Linked DNA regions of Elephas maximus indicus. The protein of the gene in region 2 purifies or fractionates together with the protein of the main gene of each other region. This does not show direct contact. Links are inferred from orthologs where the notes say so. Each region holds a gene or a part of one and is shown on either strand. Other genes may lie near its edges. The genes, in order: PALS1, AMOT, MPDZ and LATS1.

Evidence for each region.
Region 1: the proteins of AMOT (region 2) and PALS1 purify together in Homo sapiens (affinity purification with mass spectrometry; 6 studies listed by BioGRID and IntAct, counting the BioPlex papers as one, with this or other methods). This does not show direct contact. The link is inferred for Elephas maximus indicus from reciprocal best matches to the Homo sapiens genes AMOT and PALS1.
Region 3: the proteins of AMOT (region 2) and MPDZ purify together in Homo sapiens (affinity purification with mass spectrometry; 4 studies listed by BioGRID and IntAct, with this or other methods). This does not show direct contact. The link is inferred for Elephas maximus indicus from reciprocal best matches to the Homo sapiens genes AMOT and MPDZ.
Region 4: the proteins of AMOT (region 2) and LATS1 purify together in Homo sapiens (affinity purification with western blotting; 3 studies listed by BioGRID and IntAct, with this or other methods). This does not show direct contact. The link is inferred for Elephas maximus indicus from reciprocal best matches to the Homo sapiens genes AMOT and LATS1.

Annotation. Positions count from the first base shown.
Region 1 is NC_064828.1:79,589,162-79,596,781, forward strand, and holds the start of PALS1 (protein PALS1), read left to right. Parts: upstream 1-4,590; 5' UTR 4,591-4,718; intron 4,719-7,620. UniProt on the Homo sapiens protein: Plays a role in tight junction biogenesis and in the establishment of cell polarity in epithelial cells.
Region 2 is NC_064846.1:44,572,897-44,580,512, forward strand, and holds the start of AMOT (angiomotin), read left to right. Parts: upstream 1-4,598; 5' UTR 4,599-5,314; intron 5,315-7,616.
Region 3 is NC_064827.1:23,295,704-23,303,227, reverse strand, and holds the start of MPDZ (multiple PDZ domain protein), read left to right. Parts: upstream 1-4,505; 5' UTR 4,506-4,565; coding exon 4,566-4,581; intron 4,582-7,161; coding exon 7,162-7,328; intron 7,329-7,524. UniProt on the Homo sapiens protein: Member of the NMDAR signaling complex that may play a role in control of AMPAR potentiation and synaptic plasticity in excitatory synapses. Promotes clustering of HT2RC at the cell surface.
Region 4 is NC_064819.1:220,991,020-220,998,976, reverse strand, and holds the start of LATS1 (serine/threonine-protein kinase LATS1), read left to right. Parts: upstream 1-4,951; 5' UTR 4,952-5,202; intron 5,203-7,957. UniProt on the Homo sapiens protein: Negative regulator of YAP1 in the Hippo signaling pathway that plays a pivotal role in organ size control and tumor suppression by restricting proliferation and promoting apoptosis.

The DNA.
Region 1 (7,620 bases), on a different chromosome or scaffold from region 2:
TTTGATTTAGGTTATCTGTGATCATCTGGTTCAGAAAATTATAAGTAATTAACCTAGTATTTAGTTATGAAAACCTAGACTTCACTAGTACATAGAGGTGATAAAACCTTATAATAACATTAGTTAAAGGACTATAAGGAACATAATAACTTTAGTTAAAAATTTCATATATAATAGTGAATGGTAGAGTCTTAGAAAGTGAGATTTTAGACCTGTTGCAAATAGGTCAGATGTAATATTAGTATGTTTTTCTAAAAACTTTAATGAAATAAAGTAGCACAACATTTGATTACATAAACGTGTAATAGGGGATATTGGCAGATGATGGGTTAAAGAAATGCCAAGATAAGGAAGGACAAAAAGTATTTACAGTGGTTTCTCTCCTTGTGCACTTGACTTTACAGCTTGGCTTTCACTCCTCCTCCTTAATACTTGGTTACAAATTTGCCAGGATGACTCAGTGAGTGAACTGCCTCGTGACAAGGATGAACAGCTGTTCTGACTCAGTTTTAAACCACAGATTACCCATTTCATTCTATTTTAAGATGAATATTATATTTTCTTAACCCCTATAGTATCTATGAGGAGCCCTGATGGCACAATGGTTAAACACTTGGCTGCTACCCAACGGTTCGAACCTACCAGCCACTCCATGGGAGGAAGATGTGGCAGTTTGCTTCCATAAAGATTAAAAAACCAAGTCAGTTGCTGTCGAGTTGATTCCGACTCATAGCGACCCTACAGGACAGAGTAGAACTTCCCCATAGGGTTTTCGAGGGTTTAATCTTTATGGAATGCTTTCCTCCTCAGAGGAACTGGTGGGTCCAAACTGCCAATCTTTTGGTTAGCAGCCCAGTGCTTAACCACTGCACCACCAGGGCTCCTTCCATAAAGATTACAGCTTTGTAAACCCCATGGGGGCAGTTCCGCTCTGTCCTATGGGGTCAATATGAGTTGGAATCAACTTAACAGCAATGGATATAGTATTCACGTTAGACACCATATGCAAAGGCTACCAGAATCTAGAAAAAACTACTTAGTAGTTAACTTCCTTACATTATAGATGAGAAAATTTAGGCCCAAGAAGCTTGTCATGCATCCAAATTACAGAACTACTTCTCAGCAAAGCTAAAGCTCACATTCAATCACCTTGCCTCCAGTTTCTATACTTTCTACTCTTTTAGTTACCCTTCTTTTTTTTTTTCCCTTCAACAAGACCAGTAATTTGTGTCATTTGGAAATTGAGAATGTCTCAATTTATGAGAGAGTAGATTCCTTATTTGCCATAGGGTTTACTGCCCTCTATTAAAATGAAAATACTTTTAGGAGATAATAATAATAATAAACATCCGTATAACACTTCACAAAGGAATTCCCACATATTTTGAGAGCAGTGGCTGCTACCTCAAACTGATAGTAATCATAATTTTTCCAGGATGAGGTTCTGTGACAGAGGGATCTGAGCAGCTAGGGGAGCAAGGGCTCGGTACCTGAAGGGTTCATTTGAACGGGGATGTTTTGCATACAGGTAGTCCCTGACTTAAAATGGGTTTCAGTTCCAGTGACTCTGTCATGTTAGTTCTAAGTCGAATGCCTCATTTAAAAAATTTTTTCATTATTATTGCCTTTTATTGTCAGTATCTTTATAAATCCAATCTTTATTTCTCTTTGAGGGTTGGAAACATTACATATAAACTTACAGACATATTTTAATATATTCGTGTGTACATAAAATATTAAACAAATCATTAAAAAAAAATAAGTGAGATTCTTTGTAACTCGAATATCATTGTTATGACGGGGACTACCTGTACTGCCTGAGGCCAGGTAATTAGAAGGTATGGGTTTGAAATACTCTCTTTAGAGGTCAATTCATTGAATAGCTAGATATCAGTGGTTCTTAACTGGAAGTGATTTTGCCCCACCAGGGAACCTTTGGCAAAGTCTGGAGACATTTTTTATTGTCACAACTGGCAGTGGAGCAGGCCTACTGGCCTCTAATGGAGAGAGGTCTGCAATGCTGCTCAACATTCTACCATGCACAGGACAGCCCCCCACCACAAAGAATTATCCAGCTCCAAAGGCCCATACTGCCGAGGTTGAGAAATGCTCAGTTAGAGGAAGCTCCCTGAATTATTATTTATTTTATGCATTTAAGAACTTAGAAAGGAAATAAGTCATACCATGCTAACCATTTTTCCTTTTTGGGGATGAGTAACAGTTTCTAGGGAATCCTGGAGACTGCTTATCTGGATTTCGGTTGTACATTTCACAAATTCTCATGGTATCTCCGTGGAGGAAAATGGCAGGAAGACAGCTCAGGTAGGTTTGCAGCTGATTGTCTGTACTCAGAGTCTACCGATAAACATTTGATGGCAGGAGGATTAAGAGCTCTAGTGACGTCCTGCAGAGTCCCATCCTCATCCCTGTCTTATTAAACACTTATAAATGACTGGGATAAAGACTTGGATGGAATGCTGATCAGATACGAGGATGATAAAAAAAAAAAAAAAAAAAACTCTAGGAAGGGTAGGGATCCAAAGAGATCTTGGCCACCTGGAAAAGTGATTTGCTTAGTCGAGGGCACCACAGTTCACCCATAGATGTCCAGAGGAGAGTTAGAAGAAGGTGAAAGAACTTGCAAGTACAGACCTGGGGATATTGCGACTGAAGATGGGAAAATGAGAGGAAAAGAGGAAGGACATGATAATTGACATAACAGAAGTGCTTTGAGGAAGATGTGGCTAAATACAATAAGCATGCCTCTGGGAGAAACTAGCATCAATAGGCAGAAGTGACAGAAAGGCAGATTTCAGCCTAACAGAAAGGTTAATTAGTAAATATTAGAACCGTTCAAGAGTGGGGCACGGCGCCTTGGAACACAGAGTTCTTGCTTACTGTCAAAGCAGAGACCATACAATGGATTTATTATAAGTGTTGAGGTAAATTTGCTGTTATTTCTAGTTAGAATGCATTAAAAAAAAAATTATTTTGTTGTTGAGAATATACACAGCAAAACATACACCAATTCAACAGCCTCCACGCGCACCATCCGGTGACACTGATCACACTCCTTGACCTGTGCAACCACTCCCCTGGAGAATTGCTCCTCCATTAACACAAACTTACTGCCCCCTAAGCTTCCCATCCAATCTTTCAGGTTGCTGTTGTCAATTTGTTTCCATAGGTAGTTCTTAAAAGAGCACAATGCTCAAGGCAGATATCTTTCATTAGATAAGCTAAACTATTGTTTGGTTCCAAGAAGGCCCCAGGGTGTATCTTTGATCCAAGGCTCAAAGATTACATTAGGCAATAGTTTCAGGGGTTCATTCAACATTCATGGCTCCAGGAAGTCCGGAGTCCACGAAAATTTGAATTTCTGTTTTGTACTTTCCTTCTTTTGATCAGGCTTCTATAAAATGGTTAGAATGCATTTCAATCTGCTTTGAATTTCTTGCCCTATGGAACTCACTCCCAGAATTCTGCCCTATTCAGAAGGGAACATAAACAGGTCCTGAGTGGACCAGCCTTGTGTTGCACATGGGTTGGCTTGTTGTTGTTAGGTGCTGTCAAGTTGGTTCCGACTCATAGCAACCTCAAGTACAACAGAACAAAACACTGCCTGGTCCTGTATCATTCTCTCAACCACTGCTTTGTTGGAGCCCATTGTTGCACCCACTATGTCAGTTGATCTCGTTGCCGGTCTTCCTCTTTGTCACTGACCCTCTACTCTACCAAGCATGATGTCCTTCTCCAGGGACTGGTCCCTCCTGATAACATGTCCAAAGTATATGAGACAAAGTCTTGCCATCCTTGCTTCTAAGAAGCATTCTGGCTGTACTTCTTCCAAAACAGAAGTATTCAGGCGTTGGCCTAGGTAACTCTAAATCCATTCCAAAAGCAAGATTTTGGTCCTAGGAATTCTTTCTTTCAGGTTTTCAGAAAACTGTGTCCAGCTGATAGCTTTTTGGAGTCTTCTGCGGTAGTAGAGGATGTTTCTGTAGGACACTACACACACCAGATTTTTAATCAGGCCATGGCTTATTTCTGAAACAAATGTTAGATTATGTCATGTGCTTGACAGAACAAGCAGTCACCTCAGAGGGAAATCAGATTTTCTTCAGTAGGTGACGATCATCGAAGGAAAGAAGCGCCAAGGGCTGTAGAACATGAGCTTGGTTGGCTCAGGTACCCTTGCGTCCCCATGCAGCCTAAACTGCAGGCTTAAATCAAAGCAACTGCCTGATGCCTGCGGGCCTGAAGCAGCTAGCATTTTATATTGAGAGGCGCGCGAGTGCGCGCGACCGGCCGCTCGGGAGCTGCAGAGAGGGCCAATGAGCAGGCACTTTCTCCCCGCCGTCTCAGGATTGGACGAACCGCGCCAGCCTCTCTGCGGAGCAGTGGGCGGGGCGCACTGGGGAGGCACTGGGATAGGCGCGTCCGCTTCGCCAGAGTGCCGGGGGCGCGTGCGCGGTCTCGCGGAAGCCGCGGGGGCCGGTCTCGCGCGGTCTCGAGGTGGAGCCGCTGGCGGCTGTGGCGACGGCGGCGACGGAGGAGGCTGGCGGCGGGGCGGGGGCGGGGACTAAGGATTGCGAGGTGGGGAATCGGGAGTTTCTGGATTCTTTATGCGATATTTCAAGGGCTGCCGGAGGGCCGTCGCTTCTGCAGTGCTTAGGAGCGGCTGGGGCGGGAGGATCTACGGCGGCCGTGGCGCGAAGGTAAGAGGCAGACGGGGCGCAGCTCGGTGTGGCGATCTTAATCAACAGGTTCCCGGGAGCGCGGCGGGGGAGGGGCGGTCGGGAGCCGCGGCGGCCGGGACCCTGTGCCCCCCGCGCGCCGCGCGCTCCGCCGGGGAGGGACCCGGGGCTGCTCTGTGGACTGCCCCAGGCAGCGGGAGCCGCGGCCGCCGAGGGCGTGAGGCTAACCTTTGTCCCTCGGAGGAACGCTGCCTGCGCAGTACCCGTTCCTTCTGTCCTGGCTGGCGAAGGGACGCACCTTGGCGGGGGCTCCTGTCGGCCAGGCCCGGCTTGCAGGAACGCGCCGGGTATCGCCTGCCCTTTGCGTTCCAGCCTCTGAGCTCGCGACTCCCTTCTGGCCGGGTAGGGGATGTCGGCAGGGAGTGGGGGTGGGGGGAACACTTTAAAAGGCCGAATGCGTTCCCCTGCCTGACTCAGCTCCCGGTATTCCGCTGCTCATTGCGTTCTTTCAACAAATAAAGAGCTTCTTGCTTCCTTGTGACCCCTTTTTTTTAAAGAGCCTAATGGTTAATGGTTTCTGATACTTGGAGATTGCAAAGTGAACGTTGAAGCTGGAGATTGTAAGCTACGTTTCAATGAAAGGCGTTTCGGTTTTTGCAGCAAATTATGTAACTTCCTAATAACAACTCACCTGTTCAGTTGATGCGACGTACAGTAATGAGTACGGAATTTAGGTTTCGGTCGAAAGATTTTTCTTGGCGGTTTACGCTAAAATTAAAATCTGATCACCAGAAGGTTTTTAGAAGGAGTATGTAGTTGTGTGTGTTTTGTCTCCATATTCGTTTAGAATTGTTAAGAATTTCCATTTGGAAAACTTGTGAATAAGAATTTTGAAATTTTAAGTTGACTGACAAGCTGTTAATATTTCTGATATTAATGATTATTAAAAAGTTGCCGTCCAGTCGACTCCGACTCATAGTGATATTAATAATTGTATTCTAATTATGCCTTTGGATTATACCAGAAGTTAATTACCTATTAAATTCTGCAGTAGGCACAAATGAAATACTGGTTATTGGTGTCTTTGAAATATAAGTTGGTGGTAATAAAAGTTATTCATACTTCATGGATTATGAACTAGATCCCTGTGGACATAGCATGTCATAAATTTCAAAAGGCTATTGTATTAGACTGAAGCTATTAGTAATAATGTAAGAGCTTCAGAAATAAAACAGGCAAAAGTATGAAAAGCAATTCCTCATTTTATCTTTGTAAAAAAATTGCATAAATCTTAAACACTGTACTTGAGTGACTTTCGGCTAGCCAAACTTAAAGTTGACAAGTAAAGGGAAAGGCATTCATAATTCAGCTTGTTACAGAACATTAAAAAGGGAGAGATGTACCAGTCCACCTGAGGGTGACTCAAGTCAGTATAGTCGGTTTAGCTGATGTGGTCTAGTAATGTTTATTTATATGCTCTTCGTGAATTATGGTCTTTATTTAAAACCTCATCACACATATTCCAAGAAATTTGGTCCATTTATGTATTGGTATACTAAGTTGCCCTATTTCTCTGATTTCTGATTTGGGGGGTTTTGGGAAAAATTGTTCCTCAATATGGATAAGTGCTCTGGAATATAATTTTTGATTACAGTGTACACTTATTGAATCATAGGATCATTGAGTTGGAAATAATCTTAGTGACTTTGTTACCTATCTTATTTGTCAGGGAAAAGTGAGGCTTGTAGCAATTGAGTAGCCCATAGTCTGACTCTTAAGTTAGTGGCATACCCAGCCCAGTTAGTGGCATAGTTGGAAGTAAATGCTAAACTACTTGTCTCCAGATTCCAAGTCCAGTGCTCTTTTCGCTATATTCTATTACTATAAGTGAACAAACCACTAAGTTACCTTTCTCAAAATCATTACATGAAATCGGTGAGGTTGCTTTCCCTTATTCAAATTTTTCTTCTTTTTTTTAATAACCACTAATTACAGTTTGTTCATTCCCCTACTGAAGAGTTGTTTTCAATTTTTCAAACCATGTTTAATGAATATTCTTGTGCATGTCACCTTTAGCACATGTACGAAGATTTCCCTAGATGTATACCTACCTGTAAGAAGAAATACTGAGTCATAGGTTGATATGCATTTTCAGCTTTACTAGTTATATACAAAGTACCTTCTAAAATTGTACCAGTTTACATACCTGCCAACAATTTGAGTCTCAGTGCTTTCTCATCCTTGCCCACATTAGGCATTATTAGATTTTAAAAGTATCTGCCACTTGTGGGTGAGAAGTGTATTTTGTTTCCCTCCTTTTAAAGGATTTTAACATTGTCCTTAATTTATATGAAATAAAATAAACTCCTTCTGGTGTACAGTTATCTTGACAAATGTATAAAGCTGTGCAACCATCACGATCAAGACACAGAAGAGTCCCACCACCCAAAATTCTCTCGTGCTGCCCTTTTGTAGTCAACCTTCCTCTTCCCTGCTAGCCCCTGGTAACCAATGATCTGTTGTCTTCCCTGTAGTTGTATCTTTTCTAGAATATCATGTAAATGGAATCATACAGTATATAACCTTTTAAATCTGGTTTCTTTCACTTAGCATTATACATTTGAGATTCATCCACATTGTTGAGTGTAACAGCAGTTTTTTCTGTTTTACTGGTGAATATAGTATTGCTATGAGTCAGAATTGACGGCAATGGGTTTGGGTTTTTTTTTTTTTTTAATAGCATTCCACTGTATGGATGTACCACAGTTTGTTCATCCATTCACCAATTTAAGGACATTTGAGCTATTTTTAGTTTTTTGTGATTATGAATAAAGCTGTTGTAAATCTTTATCAGCAGGTTTTTGTGTGAACATAAATTTTCATTTCTCTTGGGTAAGCCTCTAGCTAGAAGTGGGATTGCTAG
Region 2 (7,616 bases):
AGGAGGCTGACTTTCAGAGGTGTGCAGGAAAAGGCTGCTTTTTCATGTGCGTCTGATATATTTGCAGCGTGTTTTATGGGCAGGGGGAGGGTTATTTAGAGACACAAATCCTTTGGATTTATTTTCGCTGGTGTATGTTCTTGCCTTTGCTTGTGTTTGCAAATGCATGTACATGATTTAGTTGTTCGCCACACAATTAGAGGAGGATGTGGACATTTAACACTCCCAGTCAACCTGGTGGGTAGGGAAGAGTGTCCTTCAGTATGAAGCATTATGGTTTCATGGTCTTTGCTTCAAGAAGAACCTAGCCAGGGATTGGGGAAAGACTATAAGCCATGTCCTCCTTCCTACTTTTCCTGTACATTGAGCAAAAATATTGGATGCAAAGGGCAGAGATTGATCTTTATTGCATGTTAAAGGAGGAGTTGCACTCTATGGACAAAAAAAAAAAGGCCAAGCAGGACAGTTAGTTCAGGATGGAGACTCTTGACTTCCAAGCTTAAAATGATCCTCCTTTTTTCCATATCAGTATATGGGGCTTTTTTTTGTGTAGCACTTAAGTAACCCAGTGTCTTTACACAAGTATTTTACAGCTAGGGGTTAATTCTCCTGGTATCCCCTATAGGGTTCTTCATATTTTACTCGGGCTATGAAGACACAGAGATGCTGCGGGGATTAGTTAAATGTGCGTGGCATAGTTTGCTGTATAAACTCTCTCTCTGGAACTAGTTTTTCTCTCCCTGCTCTCAACTTCCACAGCTTTTACTGTCAATACCATTCATTTAGCACTTAGCATATTCTTGTTAGTTATCTTTTTATGTCTATATCCTTGTAGGAAGGAGCCAAGTTTCATACCTCTTTGTTTTTCCAGCCTTGTCCATAATAGCAGCTCAATCAATGTTTGTTGATGTTGGCCTCCCCACCCTCCTACCCCCCTTAAAGTGGAGCAGGCAATGCATAGCTTTAAATTCAAACTCAGTTTAAACAAACTGAAGGGTTTTCAGGGTAAAAACAAAGAGGAAGTCTTGTGTGGGAGGAGAGAAGGAACACCTAAGACGCTTGAATGACCTGAGCAAAGCAGAGGTACCAAAAACCTGTTGTTTGGCACAGGCTAAGAAGTGACTCACACATGGCCCGATTCACCTTTAAGTTTCAGAGCTCTGCTAACTTTATGCCGTGAAAATTCAAATTTGGTGGTGAACAGTAATGACCCTAGCAGGATTTGAGGAGCGGGTAATAAAAGAGTTAAATGATTCGGGCGTTTCCATGGTATGGAGGCCCTGGTAGCTGTGGGAAGACTAGTTGAAAAAGTCTTTTGAGAACCAACTTTAAGGCTGGGGGCAGGCATACTACAAACAGCTGCCAGATCTTTGCTACCAGAATTTTTTTCTTCCCAGCATCATTTGTAATGGCAAAAGATGGGAAATGTCTAAATTGCCTCATCGAGGCAGGATGAACCCCCTAACTATGGACCTCAGATAATCTTGAAATCTTAAACATTAAACCAAGAATATCCCCTGAAGTCTTCTTCAAACCAAACAATAAAAAAAAACAATAGGTTAGCTTAATTATTAGTAAAGAATGTCTGCCTTGAGCATTGTGCTCTTTTAAAGAACTATCTTTATGAAATCAAACTGACAATAATAACTCCAAAGGTTAGATAGGAAGCGTAAGGGGCAATCAGTTTATGTTAATAGAGGAGGAACAATCCTGAACAGGTCTGTGAGAATGGTTGCACAACTTGAAGAATGCTATTAACGTCACTGAATTGTACATGTAGAAATGGCTGAATTGGTATATATTTTGCTGTGTATTTTTCAACAGCAATAAAATAAAATAATTTTTAAAAAGTATAAAGAATGATTTCAACTGTATTCTATTGTGTTAAATGCATTAGAACTGGAATAATGCCTTACCTCTGAGGTCCAGGGCCAAAAAGAGGGGGCTGGCATACCATTTAAGCCAACTGTAACAGGAGGGTTACCTTGATTTAGCCCACCATTTTCCAAACTCATTTGACAACAGAATGTTTTTGGTCGTTAAGGACGAGGAAGAATGGGGCACCAGAAAAATTCATTAACTACCTGCGGTATGCAGTTGACACAACCTTGCTTGCTGAAAGCGAAGAGAATTTGAAGCACTTACTGATGAAGATCAAAGAATGCAGCCTTCAGTATGGATTGCACCATAAAGAAAACAAAAATCCTCACAACTGGACCAATGAGCAACATCATGATAAATGGAGAAAAGATTGAGGTTGTCAAGAATTTCATTTTACTAGGATCCACAATTAACATCCATGGAAGCAGGAGTCAAGAAATCAAAGGTTGTATTCCATGGGGGAAATCCACTGCAAAAGACCTCTTTTAAAGTGTTAAAATTTTATTTTAAAGTGTTTGTAATTTTGCTTTCATTTACCTTGGGAGAATAGCACTCATGCTTTTTGCCTGGTTTAGAGAGGCCATAGGAATATAGGATTTTTTTTTAACTTAGTGTAGAAATTTTAAAATGTATGCAACAGAAGTAAGAGAATCATTTAATGACCCCATGTACCCATCCTGCAACTTCAGTGATGAGGGATGCTCAACCAACCCTATACCCTTACTTCTTTCAGCCTTTTCTCTCCCCCCCCGCCCCAGCCCCGCCGCCCTCTTTAAAGTGTTAAAAAGCAAAGATATCACTTTGAGGGCTAAGGTGCTCCTGACTCAAGCCATGGTATTTTCAATCACCTCATATACATGGGAAAACTGGACAATGAATAAGGAAGGCTGGAGAATTTATGCCTTTGAATTATGGTGTTGGTGAAGAATATTGAGTATACCGTGGGCTGGTAGAAGAACAAACAAATCTGCCTTGGAGAAGTATAGCCAGAATGCTTCTTAGCAGCAAGAATGGTGAGACTTCATCTCATGTACTTTGGATATGTTATCAGGAGGGATCAGGCCCTGGAGAAGGACATCATGCTTGGTAAGGAAGAGGGTCAACGAAAAAGAGGAGGACCCTCAACTAGATGGACTGACACAGTGGCTACAGCAATGGGCTCAAACATATCAATGACTGTGAGGATGGTACAGGACTGGGCAGTTTCATTCTGTTGTACACAGAGTCACTATGAGTCGGAACTGACTCTATGGCACCTAACAACAACAAGAAGAGAATGGTGGTTTCCATGGTAAATGTTCCTCATATTTGTTTTTTCAAGTTCACTTCAGAGATACACAGCATGATTTCCTCTTTCAGTACCAGCACCACAATAGATTTAGGTCGTGGCGCCACTGCAGAACTGTTTAAAAAAGAAATCTCACCCACCCTGGTTAGAAAAGGGGCAATTTATTATTCTAACTGCAGGGAGCCAATTTCATATCCACCTTTAAAGCTGTAGGAAAAAAGTTGATTTTTTAAAAGAAAGCCGCAGAACCTACACACCTTGGATGTAAATGCTTAAAACAGATGAGCAGAATATGATTCCCAAACTCATATGAGAGACTCTCTGCCATGTGTCGTACACAGTAGGAACACATACATTTGTGGAGTGCTTTGTGGTTTACAGAGTTTTCACACACATTTTATTTCCTTACCAATGCCAGGAAGTTAATAGGGCATGTCTTATAGCCTTTATTTACAGATAGGGAAATTAAACGATTTAACAAAGGCAAACAACTAGCTAATAAGTGCCAGAGCCCGAAATGAATTCTTCCCTTGGTTCCAAATTCCATGTTATTCTGCTATCCCTATGCTGTTTCTTGGTGCTTTAGTTTTCCCAGCTGTAAAATGGTAGCTGGTGTTCTCAAATCCCAGTGTTCTTAAGCAACAGCAATTTTTCGTAGCTCGGAAATATGAACACCACATTGATACTTCAGGTACGTTTTACCCCTCCCTACCTGGTGTATTGAGGAGGAAGAAAAGTTACTATTCTAAGTGCTAGACAGTGCCGTAGAGGTGTACCCCAGTCTGCGGATACACTGTCGTACTCTTTTTAAAAAAAAAAAAAAAAGAGACTGAGAAATCAAGCTTCTCATCTTTCTTTTCCCAGAAGTGGCTGGGGGAGAAGAGAGACAATAGCTTCTTGTTTAGTTTTATCAATTTTGAGGGCGGGTGAGGCAGAGGAGCGATTGACGGCTCAATTGACCAATCGGAAAGGAATGCTAAGGTAGGATTCGCCAACGGGAAGCTGCAAAAGAATGGTGGGTGGGATTTGCTCCTCTGGATCCGCTCCGCCCAGGCCAGTTCTCTCAGCCCGCCCAAGAGGCGGAGGCTCCACAAGCCCCGCCCACCTTTCCCCTGCCGTCAGAAGGAGGGGCGGAGGCGCTTGGTGGGGGAGGGGTCGAAGGCTAGGGGGAGCGGAGGAAGAAAGGAGGGTGTCTCGCAGAACCGTGACCTGGGTGGAGGCCTGCTGGTAATAGGAAGCAAGAGGGGAAGGAAAACGAAGGAGCGCTGCTTCTTCCTGCATTATTTGAAGCTGACTTTGACAGAAGCTGCTTCTCAGCTTTTCTATTATTTGTTTTTCTGCTTCCCGCTGTGGGGCGGAGAGCTGCACTGGCTCTCCCACGCGACTCTGCTCCGCTTGTGCCGTAGATTATTATTGTAGTCTTTTCGAAACCCTTTCCTTCCTCCCAACCACTCCTTGCGTAGACTTTCGGTACTCCCGGAACCAAGCCATGCCACGTTCGTAGTAGGGCGGGAGCGAAGGCCCCCACTTTCGCGGGAGCTCCTGGACCCCGCCGTTCAATTGTTTGAAACTTCCCCGCCCCCTGGCCCCGCCTCTCTTCCGCACCTCCCCCCTCTAGGGTCCAGTCAGGCTCCCGCCCTTCTTTCCCCGCCCTCTACTCCGCCTCCTACCCTAGTCCACCGCCAACCCCTCCTCTCCTGGGCGGTCCTAGCCGCTCACCGCAAGAAGAAAAGCCACCCATTCGTCCCCCTCCCCTACCTCCCATCCTTTGCCCAGGAGCTGCCTTCATCGCAGTCACGCCCCTTCCTTCCTAGGAGCTTTCTGGCTGTCCAAGCTTTCTGGCTGTCCAAGCTGGTAGACCCCTTGAATTACTCCTCCATCCCTGCTTTCCTCGCCTCCTTTTCCCCTAGTTCTCTTCCCCCGCCCTCCCACCTCGAGTCTGTCTAGCCTCGGATCATCCGCTGCTCCACCCTCCGGCCCGGTATCCTGCCTGTCCACTGCCACTAAGGAGAGACCGGACGGAGCAGTGAGGAGGAGAGCAGCCGGGAGTTGGGGCTTCCCCCTGCCCATCCCTGGCCGCTGGCCCGGGACTGAAGCCACCTGAGCGAGCAGAGAGCCGTCACCCTGTCTTCGTTGCCTTCAGGGGTAGGAGAAGTGTGGTTACTTTTTACGGGGAACTGGGGCAGGAATTAATGGTGGCATGAACTTGGTCGTGCCCTCGGCGTGAGTGATTCGCTCTAGAAGCTTGTAGAGATGCCCGTGCGCTCTACTTTCTTTGCAGCTGGCCGTGAGTTTTCCAGCATGTGCAGCAAGTTAAATCGATTAAAGAGTGTGCACTCCTTTTCCGTCCTACTTCGGCAAGGAGATGCTAGTGGGTACCACAACTTGATGGTTCTTTAACTTCCTTGTCTTCTGGGGTCCTTGTAGGTCTCTAGGCAATTAATCACATAAGAAACTAAAGACTCAAGGGAAACCGAGATTTACGTTTGGCCCAGCAGGAATATCTGCTCTTATTTCAGATGACTAGATGAGTTTCTCCTCTGTGCTTAGGGTAGGGATGGGGGCTAACACTCCACTCCTCCAGGCGGGGGATGGGCGGCAAGTGAAGTCCGGCTGGGGGGTGTTGAATTCTTGAGGTCTTAAATTCTGGGAGTAATCTATCACGCTACGCTCCTTTTGGTGTATGTGTGTGTCGCTGGTGGTGGGTAGGGGCGGTAGCCCCTTATCAGCTTTATAAGGTTTAATAATGTTGGTTAACTAGTTTTTCGGGATCAGGCAGGTGTCGTGAGGGTCCCAAGCCCAGGCCACTGCGTAGGTGCTTCAACAGCAAGATGGACTTCATCAATATTTGAAAATAAAGAGAAGGAAAATTAGGGAAAGTGACAGTCTTTGTAGACTGTGAGCAGTCCCCTGTAAATTGCCACTAGTAATATTATAATAATTTGCAACAAGGGACTAAACACAATTAAATGAGAGAAAAAAAGGAAAGGTTTGTGAGAAACAGCATTTCCAATCTCTAGTAGATACTTTACAAAGACACTTTAGGGTGTTTTAGTTCAGTTCCCCTCCCATGAAGGGTGGAAATTTGGAAGCAGTTTAAAAATTTTTATTAATTAATCCTCTTCTATTCAGAAAGGAAGATAATTAGTCACCATATTCTTTAATGTTGGAGGGCTAAGGGTATGTAAGACTCCTTGAACTAGGCTTTGTGAAAAGTTCTTTCTTGGGACAGCCTTTGTGAAGCCTTCTCAGTTAGTCCTTTGAGCACCCCCATTTAGTAACTAAGAATAGTTTGAAATACCATTTTCGACATGGGATACAACTTCACCCATCTCCTACTTATTTCCAATTGGGTAAGTATGACAAGCTTATAAAAATGGTGGTGTTCAAAGATCTATTACCGAAATGTCCCCAACCCGTTGCTTATTTGGGAACATATTATTTCCTTATATTTTAAAATAATTTCTTTGGTTGATTTTAATAAGAGAAAGGAAAGCAGGGAGAGAAGGAACTTTGCAGGGTGACAATTTTAAAGGCTATCACGTTTCAGATCAGCTGGGAGGGAAGAGCTGGCTTGACCAAACTGCACTTTATAACTGGCCTGGGACATTTTAATAGCCAGGTGGTTGTAGAGTAGTTGCATCTATTTACAGATGATAACTCAGGTTCCAGCTATTCTGTATGGGTTTATCTGGTTTCATTTACAGACACTTTCTGGCACTACATCATATTTCATTTTAAGAAATTTCTTCCTTCGGAAAAATTTGTGGCTCCATAAAATTGAAAGTACTTTTTCTAACTTCGTAATCTAGATGTGAAATAAATCTCAGACCACACTTACATATAGAGTGGATCTGTTTAGCTATTTCAAAGACTTTAGAAAGGAGATTTTTAAAATTCATATTGAATACGACTTTTGATTTGAACAATCTCATTTCTGGTTTATGAATTAGAATATATTAGACTAACGCATAACCAAGGGATTTTGTGGAGTTGCGTTTCCTGGAGTTTTGTAGAGAACAAACCAGACTTTCTAGAATGCTTTGAGCACAGTCTAATCAGAAGGCAGAGGGATGGATGCTATGACCTTGAGGTTCCGTTGAGTGCCAGAATTCTAAGTGGGTACATCTGCTTCTGTGCCTCTCATAAGAGCCCTCTCCCAGGGCCTGTGCCTTCTTTAAAAGGGTGTCTTTGTAATTAAGCAGCTCTTTTTTTTTTCTCCCTCACCCCCCCTTACTTCCTTTGATCCAGCTTTTTAAGGCCTTTTTTCCCGTTTGGAGACAAGAAGAGTTTCTCACACTCTCCTACTCCCCTCTTAAGTTTTTTTTTCCTCCCCCCCCCAAAAAAAAAAGTTCCCTGAAGTTCTCAGAATACTTAGAAGTTTTTTTTTTGTTTTTGTTTGGGGAGTGGGTACCAATGAGGAGGAGTAAAGGATATATTCCTCCTT
Region 3 (7,524 bases), on a different chromosome or scaffold from region 2:
CAGGGTTTCCAGCAGAAGTGTAAACACTTTAAATTAAAATGACTTCTAAAATTTAATTTCTTTTCTAAGCTAGTACATACATAGGTAGGGTTGCCAGATAGAATAAAGGATGCTGTGTTAGAGGTCCCCAAAACTACCCTCAAATTTAGTAATCTGGTAGAAGGACTCACAGAGCTCACAAAAAGGTGTTCTACTTATGGTTACGGTTTATTACAGCAAAAGGATAAAGACTAAAACCAGCAAAGGGAAAAGGCTCATGGGAGAAATCCAGAGGAAGCCAGGTGCAAGCTTCCAGTTTTCCTCTCCTAGTGGAGTCGCATGGACAGTGCTTAATTCTCTCAGTAACGATGCTTGACAACATATGTGAAGTGTTGCTAACCAGGGAAGCTCACCTAAGCCTGGTGTCAGTTTTTTCATTTTTTATTTTTGGGGGGCTTGGGGTCTCAGTCATGTAGGCATGCAGCACCTGTGTGACTGACCTTAGCTATTCATCCTTTCCAGCCCCCCAGAGGTCAAACTGATACAGCATGGCCAAAGCCTCAGAACCAAACCAGTGGCGGTCAAGTCAGTTCCAGCTCGTAGCAGCCCTGTAGAATTGCCCCATAGGGTTTCCAAGGAGCTGCTGGTGGATTTGAACTGCTGACCTTTGGGTTAGCTCCCAAGCTCTTAACCAGTGCGCCGCCAACATAGGCATTCACCATAAATCACTTCGTTAACATAAATTATCTGGGGTGGCCTGAGGCCTCACACATACAAAGACACTTTATCCCCAGGGATACTGCAAGGGCTTAGGTCATCTTTCAGGGGCAGGGCAGTGGACCAGTCCTGAAAACCTTGGAATTATGCAGGGTTTGATCAGCCTAGGCCTGCTGAGTTAACCCTTTCCTGCACAGATGCCCACTTCAGTTTAACTTCTAGATAACAACAAATAATTTTGCACTCTTAAGTATTTCCCAAGTAACGCATGGGTCATGCTTGTATTAAAAATATACATCTATTTATCTGAAATGCAGATTTCATCAGGCATTCTATATTTTTATTTGACAAATCTGGGAACCCTATACCAAGATCCAAACCCAAACCAAACCCAGTGCTGTCTAGTCGATTCCGACTCATAGCGACCCTATAGGACAGAGTGGAACTGCCCCACAGAGTTTGCAAGGAGCACCTGGAGGATTTGAACTGTCGACCCTTTGTTTAGCAGCCGTAGCACTTAACCACTATGCCACCAGGGTTTCCTATACCAAGATACCAAATTAAAGAAAAAAAAAAAAAGAAAGAACTATTGTGCAAAGTAGTTCTCAGTGTCCCCCAGTTACCCACATCCCAACTATTAGTGTTTTGGGAAAACTTGCAGGAATAGTCTACGCTTTTGCAAACATGTCCACATTAATTCCGATGTACAAATATATTTCCCCTGCCCTTCTCGTATACAGATGATAGCATACTTTCTATTGTCCTGCACCTTATTATTATTTTTTTCATTTAACAATATATTTCCACTATGTGATTTTGTGTAACAATATGGAAAATGCAGGGTAGTATACTAGAGTGAGTAAGGGCTTTGTAATCAGATGGAGTTGGGTTCAAATCCAAGTTCTCCCACTTTTTAGTTGTGTCACGTTGAGTAAGACCTCAACCTTGCCTTTCCTGTATTGTCTTGTCTGGAAAATGGAGAGAAAAATGTGCCAGGCACTGGGAGATACTGTGGGGAACAAGACAGTCAGGCTTCCTGCTCCTGGGAAGCAGTGTGTGCTAATGGAGCTTGCCTGTCATTGTGGTACCTAAGAGTAGATACTGAACACATAGAGCCATTATTGACATGTTTTGTCGCTCTGAGTGCCTGCCTACTGAAACAGATTTTAGGTTCAGTTATAACCAAATAGTGGTGTGGCTACAAGCAGAATACATATATATGAACATTAACTCAGGGGGAACTAATATTTTTATGCTGTTTGAATATTCTTATTCTCATTGTATCGAGAATTTTGGTACCTTGAAATGTAACATCTCAGCATCTCTCCATCTGAAAAATTATGTGATTACAAATGGATTTTGTTTGTAATTAGAACTGCATCCTTGAGATGGGGGTACAAGACAGGGACTTTCTTTACATCTTGTCTATTTTTCATAGTTACTAATGGTAAAATCCTCTGGAAAACTTCAAGAAAGCTGTGTATTTATTTATTTTAGGGACATCAGAGCAGAGAATACAAACTGTGAAACTTCATTTTTTGTCACTGGGGTCCAGAAGAATGGAGGTCTCATTTGGAGCTAATGTCAGCGATGTGCAGCTGAATTTTTTTTTTTTCCACCTCTGGTGGGGGGAAAAAAAAGTATTCCTATTTCGACATAACTGACTTGTAGGTGAACTTTTGGACGACAGTGATTTTCTCAGTTGGGCGCTGCCTACTGGTACTTTCTCTGCAGACTGCTCACAAATCAGTGTGCTTCTGATTCCATAGACTACCGCCCCCTCTGCTCCATATCCAAGTCCTGAATGCTGCTTCTCTTTCTGAGTTAATTTTCACAGAGGAAAGGGAATAGAGCTAAGTTTTACTGTGCATGCCAAGTACTCATATACAATTGTATCCTTTCAGATCTTTATAAATAGTCATTTGTAGATTGTTGCAGTTGTTTGTTGCCTTCGGGTTGACTCGTGGTGACCCCATGGGTTGAGAATGGAACTGTTCCATAGGATTTTCAAGGAAAAGATAAATGACTTAACAGGGGGCATAGAGTTAGTAAGTTGTCAAGCTTAAATTTTAAATTCAAGTCTTCAGACTCACTAGTTCATGCTCTTTCATTACTACTATCATGCTTCTTCCTGAGCCATTTAATGAAATATACCTTTCTAGATCTGTACTTCCTTCTATTGGGGTATCTTATTTTTTAATTGTCAGAAGTTAATAATTTTTGGCAGGCATCTAGTAGTATGATGTTTTATAAAGGAATATGATATTCCCCTTGTGAATAAGATTATCACCAATTTATTTTTAAGATCTCCCTATAATACGCTACCCATGAAACCATGCAATGCTTGGCATTGGAATTCCTGCCTATCTGGGTTTAGCATTAATCCTGAATATGTGTTATGGTTATGGGTTGTGCTGTGAGCTGGAAATAATTTAACTCATTTAGCACACTATACCCAGTGAGGAAGTTTGTTATCTATAAAACAGGTTGAGATGGCAGACCACTTGGTCAAGGTCACACTGCTATTTAGATTTGAATTCTAAGCCAGAGTCATCTTTACTTGATGGCGAAGCACTTTCTATAACAAGTGCCAATAGTTGAGCCATTTGGCTATTTGATGTTTTAATTAGTGTATTCTAAATTGGGATAAGGAAAGTCAGTAAATACTGTTCTGTATTATTACACAGAGCTAATGGATACATTGAAGTTCTGTGCCTCTGCTCATATATGTTACGTACTTCCCTTTTCCCAAATATATTCTCTTTTAAATATGTAATGTGGGGTAACTTGTTCCTTTTTGGAGAAGTTCTCTCCCTGTCTCATCATCCAGATGAAGAATGGGGATATATGGTGGTAGGTTCTTTTTCTTCCTGTTGAAGTAATGGCAGACTGACTTCCTGATGACTCACGGTTTTCTGTAAGGCAAAGGATAAGTGTTAATATGGAGACAGGTGTGGAAAGCTGTTGGACCACAAAGATGGAAGATGGACTTAGCGGTACGACCATTGCCAGTGCAGATCAGTATCTGATGCTTCAAAGAGTTCAGTTAAGTAATGTCAGAGAGAAAGATGAGACTGGTGTGGTTTGTAGGAGCTGAGAAGAATTTTTGAATGGGAAAGAGGAGAATATTATAATCATGGGGGGTATTTTGAAAAATCCTCTTCTCTAACACTGGACTCTGTTTTACTCAGTTTCTCTTCCATGATCTGGTAGTTTCGAACTGCTGACCTTTTGGTTAGCAGCCAAGCTCTTAACCTCTATGCCACCAAGGCTCGCTTCCCTGATTTAGTGTGTTATCTTCCAGTGGTTCATGCAGTGCTTGAGTGTCACAGTTCTTTCCTAATTATTATCTGTGTCTCCCCAGTTAGACTGGGAGCATTTGAGAGCAGAATTACATTGTCTTTTTTTTTACATTTTTGATCTTTTCATCCACAAAATTTCTGAAGCAGCAGTAAGCTCCTTACTGTATGGTTAAGGTTCTAAAAGTGAATCCAAGATAATAGCAGTCTATATTGAGAAGCTCTTAAGGAAATACTTTGGAAACTTCTACCGTCTTATTTAAAAAAGATTATATGCCTTGTACTTTTTTATGCAAGTATTATTCATAATTATAAGATCATTTTGAAAAAGCCCTAAAATGATTAACTTTTTTTTTCCCCTATAAAGAACATCTAAAGTTAAATCAACAAATTTTTAATGGTCAAAGGATTGCAGTAGTTATCAAGTACTTTTTAGAGTACTTAGTTTTAGAATAAAATTTTAAAGTTCTGATAAATATAACAATTTTGCTTTATTTCTTTTATTCTCAGTGGTCCATTTTAGTTGCTGTTTTTAATCATCGCAAAGAAGATAACTGAACTTTGAAAAAAATGTTGGAAACCATAGGTAAGACCTATTCCTTCCTGCTACTTTTGTAAAAATTGAAACACATTCCATAGGGATTTTGGAAATACGGTATGTTCTACATAGCAGGATTCTATCTATAGTAACTTAGTTTTAAAAAAGTTTGTATTCACCAGCATTGTACTGGGCAGTGTATGCCTGTATCTGGGCAATTTCATCGGAGGTGTTATAAAACTCATTTATAAACAAAAGTTAAAAGTGTATGAGATATTCCGTTATGGATTTTAATGAAGTTTAATGTAAACACAGTTCTGGTTAAAGTTTGTTCCTGGGTAGCACCAGATAGTTCAGCAGTATTTTTTAATTCTGGAAGAAGGTCATTACCTATGTCTTAATTTTACTTTGTTTGTGACAGGTGAAGTACTACTGGCCTTTTGATTTTAATGGATAAAGAGAACACTAACAGTCACTTAGGCTGCATCCAGGTGGACAAACTTCAGTGAAGACTTAAGGCAGTTTATTTTCTACATGAGACAATTTAGGTTGAAACACCCAAATTTTCCAAGCTCAAGTGTTAATCTTTTTTCCACACTGCTGTCTAGTTTAAGAGGAACTAATTTCTAGAGAAATTAGTTACAGGTATATCAGGTGTGTAAAATCATGTGACACCTCAGTCCCTCACCTGTTCCAGATAACTCTAGCTATGACTATGGCAGGATGTATGGATTTCACTCTGGCAACTTGACGGTCACGGCTGGTACCATGATAGCTGAAGTGCTGAGGGGTAGGGTGAGAGTAGATGGCAATGAAGGGAGAAGAAGCTGGCTTTGTCATCATGGGGACCGTTACTGTGACTCTGTTCCCAATACCATGCTGGCGATGAAAATGCAGGGACACACATTTCCTTCATCACTTGTTTTATGCTGAAGTCATACAGCATAAAGAATACTAGTCCACAGAGGAAAGTTACTTGAAGTGGAAAGGAGAGGGCAAATATAAAACTATTTAAACCATTTCTTTCTAGTCTTTATTCTGTTACTGAGTTGGACACCTCCGCAAAATTGACATGCGGATTAATATTAGATTTGCATCCTGAGATACCGTGGGAAATATGACCCAGAATAAAATTCTTATGTATATCTTTATCATTTTTGGCTTTTAAAATTTTGTGTATTAGTAAATATTTTTTTCTTTTAATTTACATGCATGAGAACTCATCATTAACATCAATACGTGTCTTTGTTTTCCCCATTTCTGCGTAGCTCCAGATTTCATGTTATGGAAAGTGTCTTTGGTGATAATTCCCACTCTTATCCCTTACTGTGATATGGCAGATATTTTAATAGATGCACTTGTTATTATAAATCTATCAGGACATGTATCTAAATAGAGCCCCCTCCTCTTTTTTTCAAACAAATCTGGTCTCACTTATAAGTGTGTGTGTGTGTGTGTATGTTTTAGGGCGATGCTTTTAACTATTGTTTGTGGTGGAAACTCACTGTGGAGAAAGCATGCCTACAAGATGCTAGGACTGTTAGGGACACACATATTCAAAACCTTTACTTGTGGAACCCTGGGCCTGATCCATAAGGTGATTAATAGATATTTGGGTTGCGTTAGTTTGATGCATATGTTAATATGCTATTTAATTTTGGGGAAAGACATTTAAAGTTTTCAAAAATAGTTTTTTTTCAAACAATATGTATATTGTGCTGTATTTCCAAGCAAATTCTCATTACAGAATGTTTTGTCCTATAGTATATGAAATTGTTATATTTTGGAGATTGTGCCGTGTCAGTGACATTATCCATACCTGGAAACCCTGGTGGCGTAGTGTTTAAGTGCTACAGCTGCTAACCGAAGGGTTGGCAGTTCGAAACTGCCAGGCGCCCCTTGGAAACTCTGTGGGGCAGTTCTACTCTGCCCTATAGGGTCGCTATGAGTCGGAATCGACTCGACGGTACTGGGTTTTATTATCCATACCAATTTATTGGTGAGGTAGTTATATTTCTAATTTCCCTTATATTTGAATACAAAATTTAAAAAAGGGAAAATGTCAGTATTTGCAAGATCACAGAACATTTGGCTTTATATAGATTTTATAAAAGAGCTGAGATAGGTGACGTTAGAATTCCAGTACATTTCAACTGAATTAGTTTCCGAACTTTACAACTACTTGCATATGGCAGATGCTAAACCAAGTTCCCTGCTTTCAAACAAACTTTCTTACAAGAGACTTAAAGGTGTGAGGGACATATTTAGAGTAACATGTGGCCAAATCAGTTACCGTTTAGTCCATTCTGACTCATGGTGACCCCACGTATGCAGGGTAAGACTGCACCATAGGGTTTTCGAGGCTGTGACCTTTCAGAAGCAGATCACCTGGCTTGCCTTTGGAGGGGCACTTGTGGGTGGGTTCGAACCGTCAAACTTTGGGTTAGAAGTTGAGCACTTAGCCATTTGCGCCACCCAGGGTGACGGTTCCCCTTTTTCTCCCTTGCGTCAACTTTATGCTCTCGATAGCACAGGAATGGTTTTAGGATTGTACAAATATGGCGTTCTCACAGGTTTGACACGTGTCCTTTGAATCCTGCTATTGACTCATGCTGTCCTTCGGTACAGACAAAAACCGGGCCCTGCGGGCAGCCGAGCGCTTGCAGGCCAAGCTTCGAGAACGTGGGGACGTGGCCAATGAAGACAAACTGAGCCTCCTGAAGTCAGTCCTGCAGAGCCCGCTCTTCAGCCAAATCCTGAGCCTTCAGACTTCCGTGCAGAACCTGAAAGAACAGGTAAGGTATCATTCTCCCCAGCAGGTGTTCATGGTGCAGCCTAGAGAGATCTTTTGAAGGGCTCGTGTGTTGCTGCTGAAAGGCAGATTTTTATATGTGTTAATGAATAGTTAATGAAGTCATTTAAACCTCCAGACGAGACATTCAGTTTCACTGTGGCTTTTTCCCCCTAGTTATTTTTGTCATGGTTGTTGCT
Region 4 (7,957 bases), on a different chromosome or scaffold from region 2:
TCAAAACTCAAGATAATCAAAAAGAAGGGAGGTCTGAGAAACTCACAGCCAAGAGGAGCCTAAGGAGACACAATGACTAAGTGTAATGTGACATCCTGGATAGAATTCTGGATCGGAAAAAGGACATTAAGCAAAAACTTAAGGAAATTTAACTGAAGTATGGACTTTGGTTAATAAAAATGTGTCAGTATTGGTTCCTTAATTGTAACCATACTCATGTAAGAGATTAACAAGGGGGAGCCTAAGGGTGGAGTATATGGGAACTCTGTACTATAGACACAATTCTTCTGTAAATTCAAAACTGTCCTAAGAAATAAAGTTTATTAAAAAAAAAAAGTCATACCTGCTCTCCTGATGTTGCAATAAATCTCCTAAGCAGCCTTCTCCTAATTTATTGTCTACCGACAGCAAGCATTGTCCTAATCAACGTTTTTGTTATGCCAAATGTGGACTCTTTGCTCCCATCAAGTTCATCCATAGTTTCTTCTACATACAGCTTGCTCACTCACCTGCCAATCCCATGTTCTCTTTTTTCAAAATCGGCCTGAAAAGATAGCTCCCTGACACCTCATTATCAACCCCATTTAGCACATATATCCAAAAAGTTCCCATTTTTAGGTACATTGTATCCATGGAGACTGTCTTAAGACACATCATCATGAGGCAAAAGTCCTGCCTCCATAAAATGCTGTGATAAATAACGCAAGTCTGGTGCAAACAAGATACCAAGAGAAATATGAAAATACATCTTACTAAAAATAAAAACCTGTCAAAATTTGTGAGATGTAGCTAAAGCAGTGCTTAGAGGGGAACTTATAGCTTTGAATCCCTATATTAGAAAATTAAAAAGGCTTACTATCAATTACCTAAGTTTCTACCCTAAAAACCTAGGAAAAGAGAAATTAAGCCCAAAGCTGTAGGAAATAAAGTGAAGAAATCAGTGAAACCAAAAACAAACAGAAGAAAAGCCTAAAGTTGGTTCTTTGAAAAAATTGATACATCCCTAACAGGAAGAATTAAGGGAGAAAAAAACAATACCTGTTGCCAATATTGTATGTGTTGTGCCTCCTTCCTCCCAAACTATGGAAAACATACTGAAGTCTCCCTGATGTAAAGAATAAGCAAAAAACAAAACCATCCTCCAATTCTCCACCTACATCCTATCCACCCCCTTCTGTTAACTTCCAGACTTCTTGAAGAATCTGTCAAAATTCCATCTCCTCAGCTTTCATTCCTACCTTGATGGCATCTAATGACCAAAATGGCAGCCAGTGGAGAATGCCTGCACTAGACTGTGCCATGAATAAAATGTTACATAAATGCAACTTCTAGAGTCAATGTAATGCTTACATTGTTCCCCAACTGTATTATATACTTCAAAAGGACAGAGATGGTGTAGTGTAATGCCATTCAGCTATATGCATTCCCTCCTAATGGAGTCAGTTTTGCTCTTCCCTGAAGCATGCTGGGGATAAACTCTGGATAGACTTGGGCTGAGGTACAAGGCTGGGAGTGATGTGACTGGGCCGGTGGCCAAGGCCAAGGAACACCTTAGCGACAAGGAGGAAAACATCTGGGCCTGGAAGTGAAGTCCCTGGGAACACTGGCTTCCCAAGGATGTGGGAGAAAACAATGAGCCTTGGTCCCAGCTGGAATGGTATATAAGCTTATGTCCTTTGCTATGCAGTTGTGGAGCACTAAACTGGTCTAGCCGCTGCCCTGAGCCATGGTCCCGTTATAAACCATATGTTGTGATCACTGGTTCTGGAGCCTTTCTTTGGTCTCCTGGAGATGCAGCTGACCTTGGGTTCAGGTGCCACTGGGTTGTTACACAACAGACGGTGTCTTCATTTTAATCTCTCCACAGTGTTAATCATGGATTTGTGTACCCAACAGGTACAGTAAAAGTATTCTTTTTTTGAAAGAAATGGATCCTAATTTATTTTACTATAGTGAAGTGGTGATCTGGATCAAATATAAAGAATGAAACAAATTTGGAGAGCTGGCAGCTAATTTTAAATTCCAGATTAAATTACAATAGAGGCAGACCCCAGGTTATGAACAAGATCCATTCCCAAGTGTGTCTTTAAGTCTTTAATTTGTGGGTAACTCAGAATAGGTGCATATGGTTCTTATTTAGCCTTATTTTAGTGCAAAGGAAACCCTGGTGGCGTAGCGGTTAAGAGCTACGGCTGCTAAACAAAAGGTCAGCAGTTTGAATCCACCAGGCACTCCTTGGAAACCCTAGGGGGCAGTTCTACTCTGTCCTATATGATTGGTATGAGTTGGAATCAACTGGATGCCAATGGGTTTTCGGTTTTGGTTAGTGCAAGAAAAGGCTTGAACCTTTTTCAGTGATGTAAAAGCTGCACTCACAGCAAAGGAACGTGATTGTGATGAGTTTGCTGCCAGTAGGAGTTGGTTCCATTGTTCAAAGTGGGGACAAATTTATATAACATTAGAGGGCAAGTATGAGCTATCCATAAGTCAGATGTTTCTAACCCAGGGACTTATTGTATATGGAAACCATGATAGTTCGCACCCAGAGAAATAGCCCTTAGATATGGACCAACCACAGATGCCATCTCTGATTTATAAAATTTCACCTAGAAGACACCATAACAATCAAGAGGTGAGCATATACAGACAAAAAAAGTAGGAGCCCTGGTGGCCCGATAGTTAAGCACTCCACTCAGCTGTGGACTTAAAGGTTAACAGTTTGAACCCATCCAGCTGCTCTGTGGGAGAAAGACCTGAGGATCTGCTCCCATAAAGATCACAATCAGGAAAAGCCTATGGGACAGTTCTACTTTATTACATGGGGTCACCTAACAACAACAACTAGATGAAGAACCTCTTTATATAACAAAGGGGAATGATTGCCAAGATATATAATTAAACAAATATAAAACAAATAAAGCATGTCACAGAACAGTATGTATAAGGGGGGAAAAGGAAGGGAAGAAAAGAACGTAACTGTACTTGTATGTATGTGCATAGCATCTCTGGAAGGATGCACAAGAACTGGCAGTAACACTGCCTCCAAGGACGGGAACAGGCAGGTTGGGTAGACAGGGATTGAAGGTTTCACTGTTTCTCCTTTTTTTTTTTTTTTTTTTTTGCTACTTTGTTCCACTTGAATGTATTACCTATTTAAAAATAAAGTGAGATAGAGTAGTAAACGTCAAAGCCAAGACTTGGATGGTGAAGAGACAGGTTAAGGGGAACTAGAGATAAAAAAAAAAAAAGAGAGAGAGAGAGAGAATCAAGGGAGGACAGCAGCAGGGTCTGGCAAAGAGGTATAGTTCATAGCCAATAAGGAAAACAAGGTTACTGTGGACCATGCAAGCAAAGAGAAAAGCTCAGATTAGAAGTTGCAGCAGTACAGAAAGGTGGTTAGGAGGCACTGGAGTTGGCACTGGAGTCAGACTGCCTGAACTCATGTCTGGGTTTCCTCATTTAATTGCTATGTGAAAGTGCTGAGCTTTGTGGCTAGTATGTAGAAAGCTACCAATAAAGGTTAGCTGCTATGACTATCATGCAGACAAAGAGCAGCAAGTCAGGGGGTCAACAGTGGGCATGAGGCCAACATGCAGAAGTTTATGGGTGATTATTCAGGCAGAGCAGACAGCAAAAGTAGTAATCTAGAACACTGGACATGGGGGCACCGGACAAAGAACTTGGGAATGGAGAGGTAGAGACCCAAATATAGAGGGCAGGCAAGAGCTGGCAGCTATACTTACACAAGACAATGAGGTCAAGATTTGGTGAACAGGTAACTTCAAAAAAAACTGAGGCACTGACAATAGCTACAAAAGATACTGTAAGATAACAGGGATAAAAGTATTTAAAGAAAGATAAATATTGCGACCAACAATGTAGATACAGATGTCTAGGTTGTGATAACCGTGGAAATATTTTTTCGCCATTTAAAACTGAATTCAGATTTCAGTTGAATATCTACTGAAGATCTACCATTTGTCAGGCTGTAATTGGTGCTAAGAAGAGAGCAATCTGCAGAACAGATATTCCTACCTTCATGGAGCTTACAGTTTAGAAGGGCTCTTGGAATGTAATCTTTTCTTTCAACAAAGGTTTCCTCATTTGAACTTCCGGATACACTGGCCAGTCATTCATATAACATCAGAAAAAGAAGCCTTCAATTAAAAAAAAAATTTTTTTTTTTTTTTTTAGTTAGCCTTTAGTAGAAAAATGATGAAAGGAGGTACTTGAAAATGCTAACTATTTATTTTCTAGAGGCAGAACTGGCAAAGTGCTTCCTTACAAAGGATGGAGGGTACCTCCAACGATCCCATTCCAAGCTTCCGATTCAACTTAACAGGAAATAAAACTTCTCACCACTGGTCACTGTTATTCCTATTAGGACAATAATGACCTCCTCTTGTACTGATACTGGTGGCAGATAAAGGTCTCTAAAATATGTTTATTAATCTGTCCCGGCTCTAGGAACGTGTTATTTGGCTTGTTCGGAGAATACATATATGCTTTCGCTCACAGACTTACTCGGGGAAAGAGCATTAAGCAAGCATCAAAGTTTACTTCCAAGCCTCTAGAAATCCTGTATCTGATGGCCACCGCGAGGTACCAGAGAGCGACTCGTTGCTGTTCCCTTCTGAGAATTAAGCTCCTGGACACGCGTATCTTTATTCTATACCCGTTCAGAGCAAAAGCTCAATTGAAAGAAAGAGAATGAAATCCAGGAGTGGGCTTGGGTGGGGAAGAGCCCGACTCCACTAACGGAGCGTGTGTCATCTGGGCAGCGAAACGCGGGAGCGACGCGGCTGACACCAACACCCAGAGGTGCCGGCGGAAGTCGCGCGCGGGAGGCCGCAGGCAGCGCGCTCGCTCCCGGCCGCCGGGCGGGCAGAAGCCCCCAGTCCTCGGCCCCCGCGCAAGCGACGCCGGGAAATGCCCACATCCGGGAAACCTGCCGCGGAGCGCTGCGGCGGCGACACGGAGTGGAAGGCAAAATGGCGGCAGCGGCGGTGGCCTGGTGCTAAGGGGAGAGCCAGGTCCCCGCGACCCCCGCGACCAGCCGCGCTGGCCCGCGGCAGCCCCCCAGCGCTTCTCCCTGCCCTGCCCAGCCAGGGATACTTGGGGTCCCTGGTACGGGCTCCGGCCTCCTCGGCGCCCGCTCTCGGGCCCGTGGCCGCAGTCCAGGAGCCCCGCTCTCCCCTGCAGGTAGGTCCGCGGCGGGCGTAGCGGGTGGGGCCCACTCTTTTCGGGAGCCAGGGTTGGCGGGCGGTGGCCACCGGGGCCCACGCCCATCCTCGCTGGCGGGGGTCCAGGGGCTGCTGCGGACGGGCGGGCTGAGCCGGCCGGGGCCGGGCCTATCTGGGCTGGAAGCGTTGACCTGAGCTGAGCCGTGCCCTGGGGAAGCGTGTGTTGGCCGCGCCCAGCACTGGAGGAAGAGCCCCAAGCTTTTCGGGCTCGGAGGTGCAGGTTAAGCTGGGAAGAGTCTGCCTCCCTGGCGGCCTTGCGCCGACCGTTTCCCCGCCACCCCACCCCCAACACGCGAGTCAGCGGTGTCTGGCAGGGGAGGAGAGCCGAAGGTGGCTCCGAGAGAAACTAGCAGTGGGAGAGGTGCAGTTCTTTGGATCCCAGAAGCACCCGATCTGTGTATACATTGAAGAAATTCTATTATCTATTTCCAGTCCACTGTAATGTGGTTACTGTTCATAGTTGGAAGTGGTGAGAGAGATGGAAGAGTGTTTATGAAGAAGTGTGTATATAAACACAGAAGATGATGGAAAGAAAGTAAAAGGAACATTGCATATTTTCGAAGAGAGCTTGTAGCTCATAGAATAACTCTCAGGTGACTTGATTTAACCCCATACTCTCTCTTCTCCAATTGAAAGTCATTATTTAAGGGACCAAGTTTAATGTTTGTCTTTTTCATATCTTAATATGGCTTAAAATATTTATCTTCGTCTAGAAGTTCATTCATAAATTTAGTGAGAAGCATAGTCTCACACAAAAAAAATCATATTGTATCACTTCATCTTTGGAAATACATTTGAATACTTGAGATCATGGAGTTTGCCAGGCCACTATGGATTATTTATGAAGAGTAATTTTTTTTTTTTAATCAGTTTTCCTCTAGAAGGAAGAAAAGGTGGGATGTTATAATTGGAATTAGTATTCTTTGCTAAGGTACTGACATTTGTAGCTGTCCTTACCAAGGTTATTTCTTTCCTTTAATAAGTTAACAGGTAAAATGGGCTAGTTGATTGCCTAAGTCAGTGGGGGAATCTAACTGTTAAAGAGGTAGCATTGTGTTTTGATCGGCTGTGACTGCAAGAAAGTAGATCGTGGCACATGGTGGAGAAGGCACATTCTTTCTGTGCGTGCATATTGATAGACTGTGCCGTGCCACTCCTAAAGCAAATAAAAAGCTACTACAGCATTTTCGTTACAGCATTTTTTGGGGGTATGATAGTTGGACTTCATTCTGTAGGTTAAACTTTAAGTTTTTTATTTTTGTTTTTAAGTCTAGTCCTTGTTCTGTATAATACAGTCTGAAAGCAAACTCTGGTTACTTAATTGTTGTTTAGATTAGTGGAGCGTTTTTGTAGACTTCAGAAGTTGTTTAGTCACTGAACAACATTTTTATCAAGAAGAAATGGCAGTCATTTTTCAGCACATAAGTAAAATACAGTGATTATTTTCACTTTTGATCAGACAGTTCATTCTTAGAAAGTGAATTGAAGAGAATGTTATCAACATTACACAGGCTTTTCTTGAATATTCTTGTCTAAACAACTAAAACTATGAAGATTTTTCCAGCTAAGTAGCGGTACCTATTACTGTGGGCTATTCTCACAACTGATGTATTCAAAGCATTGAAACAGGTTATCTTTTTTGTAAATCTAGTTTAACCAAAGGTAAACTTGAATATCTTATTATGTAATGGTATTAGTTCTTTCCCTAAGTGTTGTCAAGATACTCAATATTTGTTTCAGTTTACTGATATTTGTGTTTTTGATAAATGTCTAAACTTTCAAAGAAATGGAGATTTTAAGTCCATTTAGCCTAACCAATTTCAGTGCCCCTTCAAAGATGATCCCTACCTGTTAAGGAGACTCAAAATGTAGGTGTAATGGAAAGATTCAGCTGGCTGTGTGACCTTCTGCAGGCCACTTTCCCTCTGTGGATCCATTTCCTTTTCTGTTGAAAAAAATACACACACGCATGTATGTCTGTGTGTGTGTTTGTATCTCCAAGATACCTTATTCTCTTTGAATCAGTGACATAGCAGGAAAAGTAAGACAAGTACATACGTAGGGCAAGAACATGTTTTGTTTGAACCATGCAAGGTGCATTTGAAGTTTTGAGGAGAAGGATAACAGCTGGGAGTTCAACGAAAGCTTCTTGAAGAAAGTGGTATTTCAGTGGGACCTCAAAGGATGGGTATAATTTCTACCAGAGGAGATACTGCAGGAGCTTTCCCAAGAACTCTTACTAGTTTCTGAGTTCATTATGACTCATGGCGACCCCATGTGTGTCAGTAGAACTGTGCTCCATAGGGTTTTCAGTTTCAGAAGTATATTGCCAGGCTTTTTTTCCGAGGTGCCTCTGGGTGGACACAAACCTCCAACTTTTGGTTAGCAGCTGAACACCAATCGTTTGCTCCACACAGGGATTCTGTCAAGGAGAATAAACAGGTAGTTAACACATAACATCGTGGTGACATCCTCCTTTTCAAAACCCTTGTTAATTATCTTGAACCTCTTTATTATCTTTATGATTGAGTGTATAACTTTGAGGCGTATTGAAGAACGGAAACCCTGGTGGCATAGTGGTTAAGAGCTACGGCTGCTAACCAAAAGGTTGGCAGTTCGAATCTACCAGGTGCTGCTTGGAAACTCTATGGGGCAGTTCTTCTCTGTCTTCTTATAGGGTCAGTGTGAGTCGGAATCGACTCAACGGCAATGAG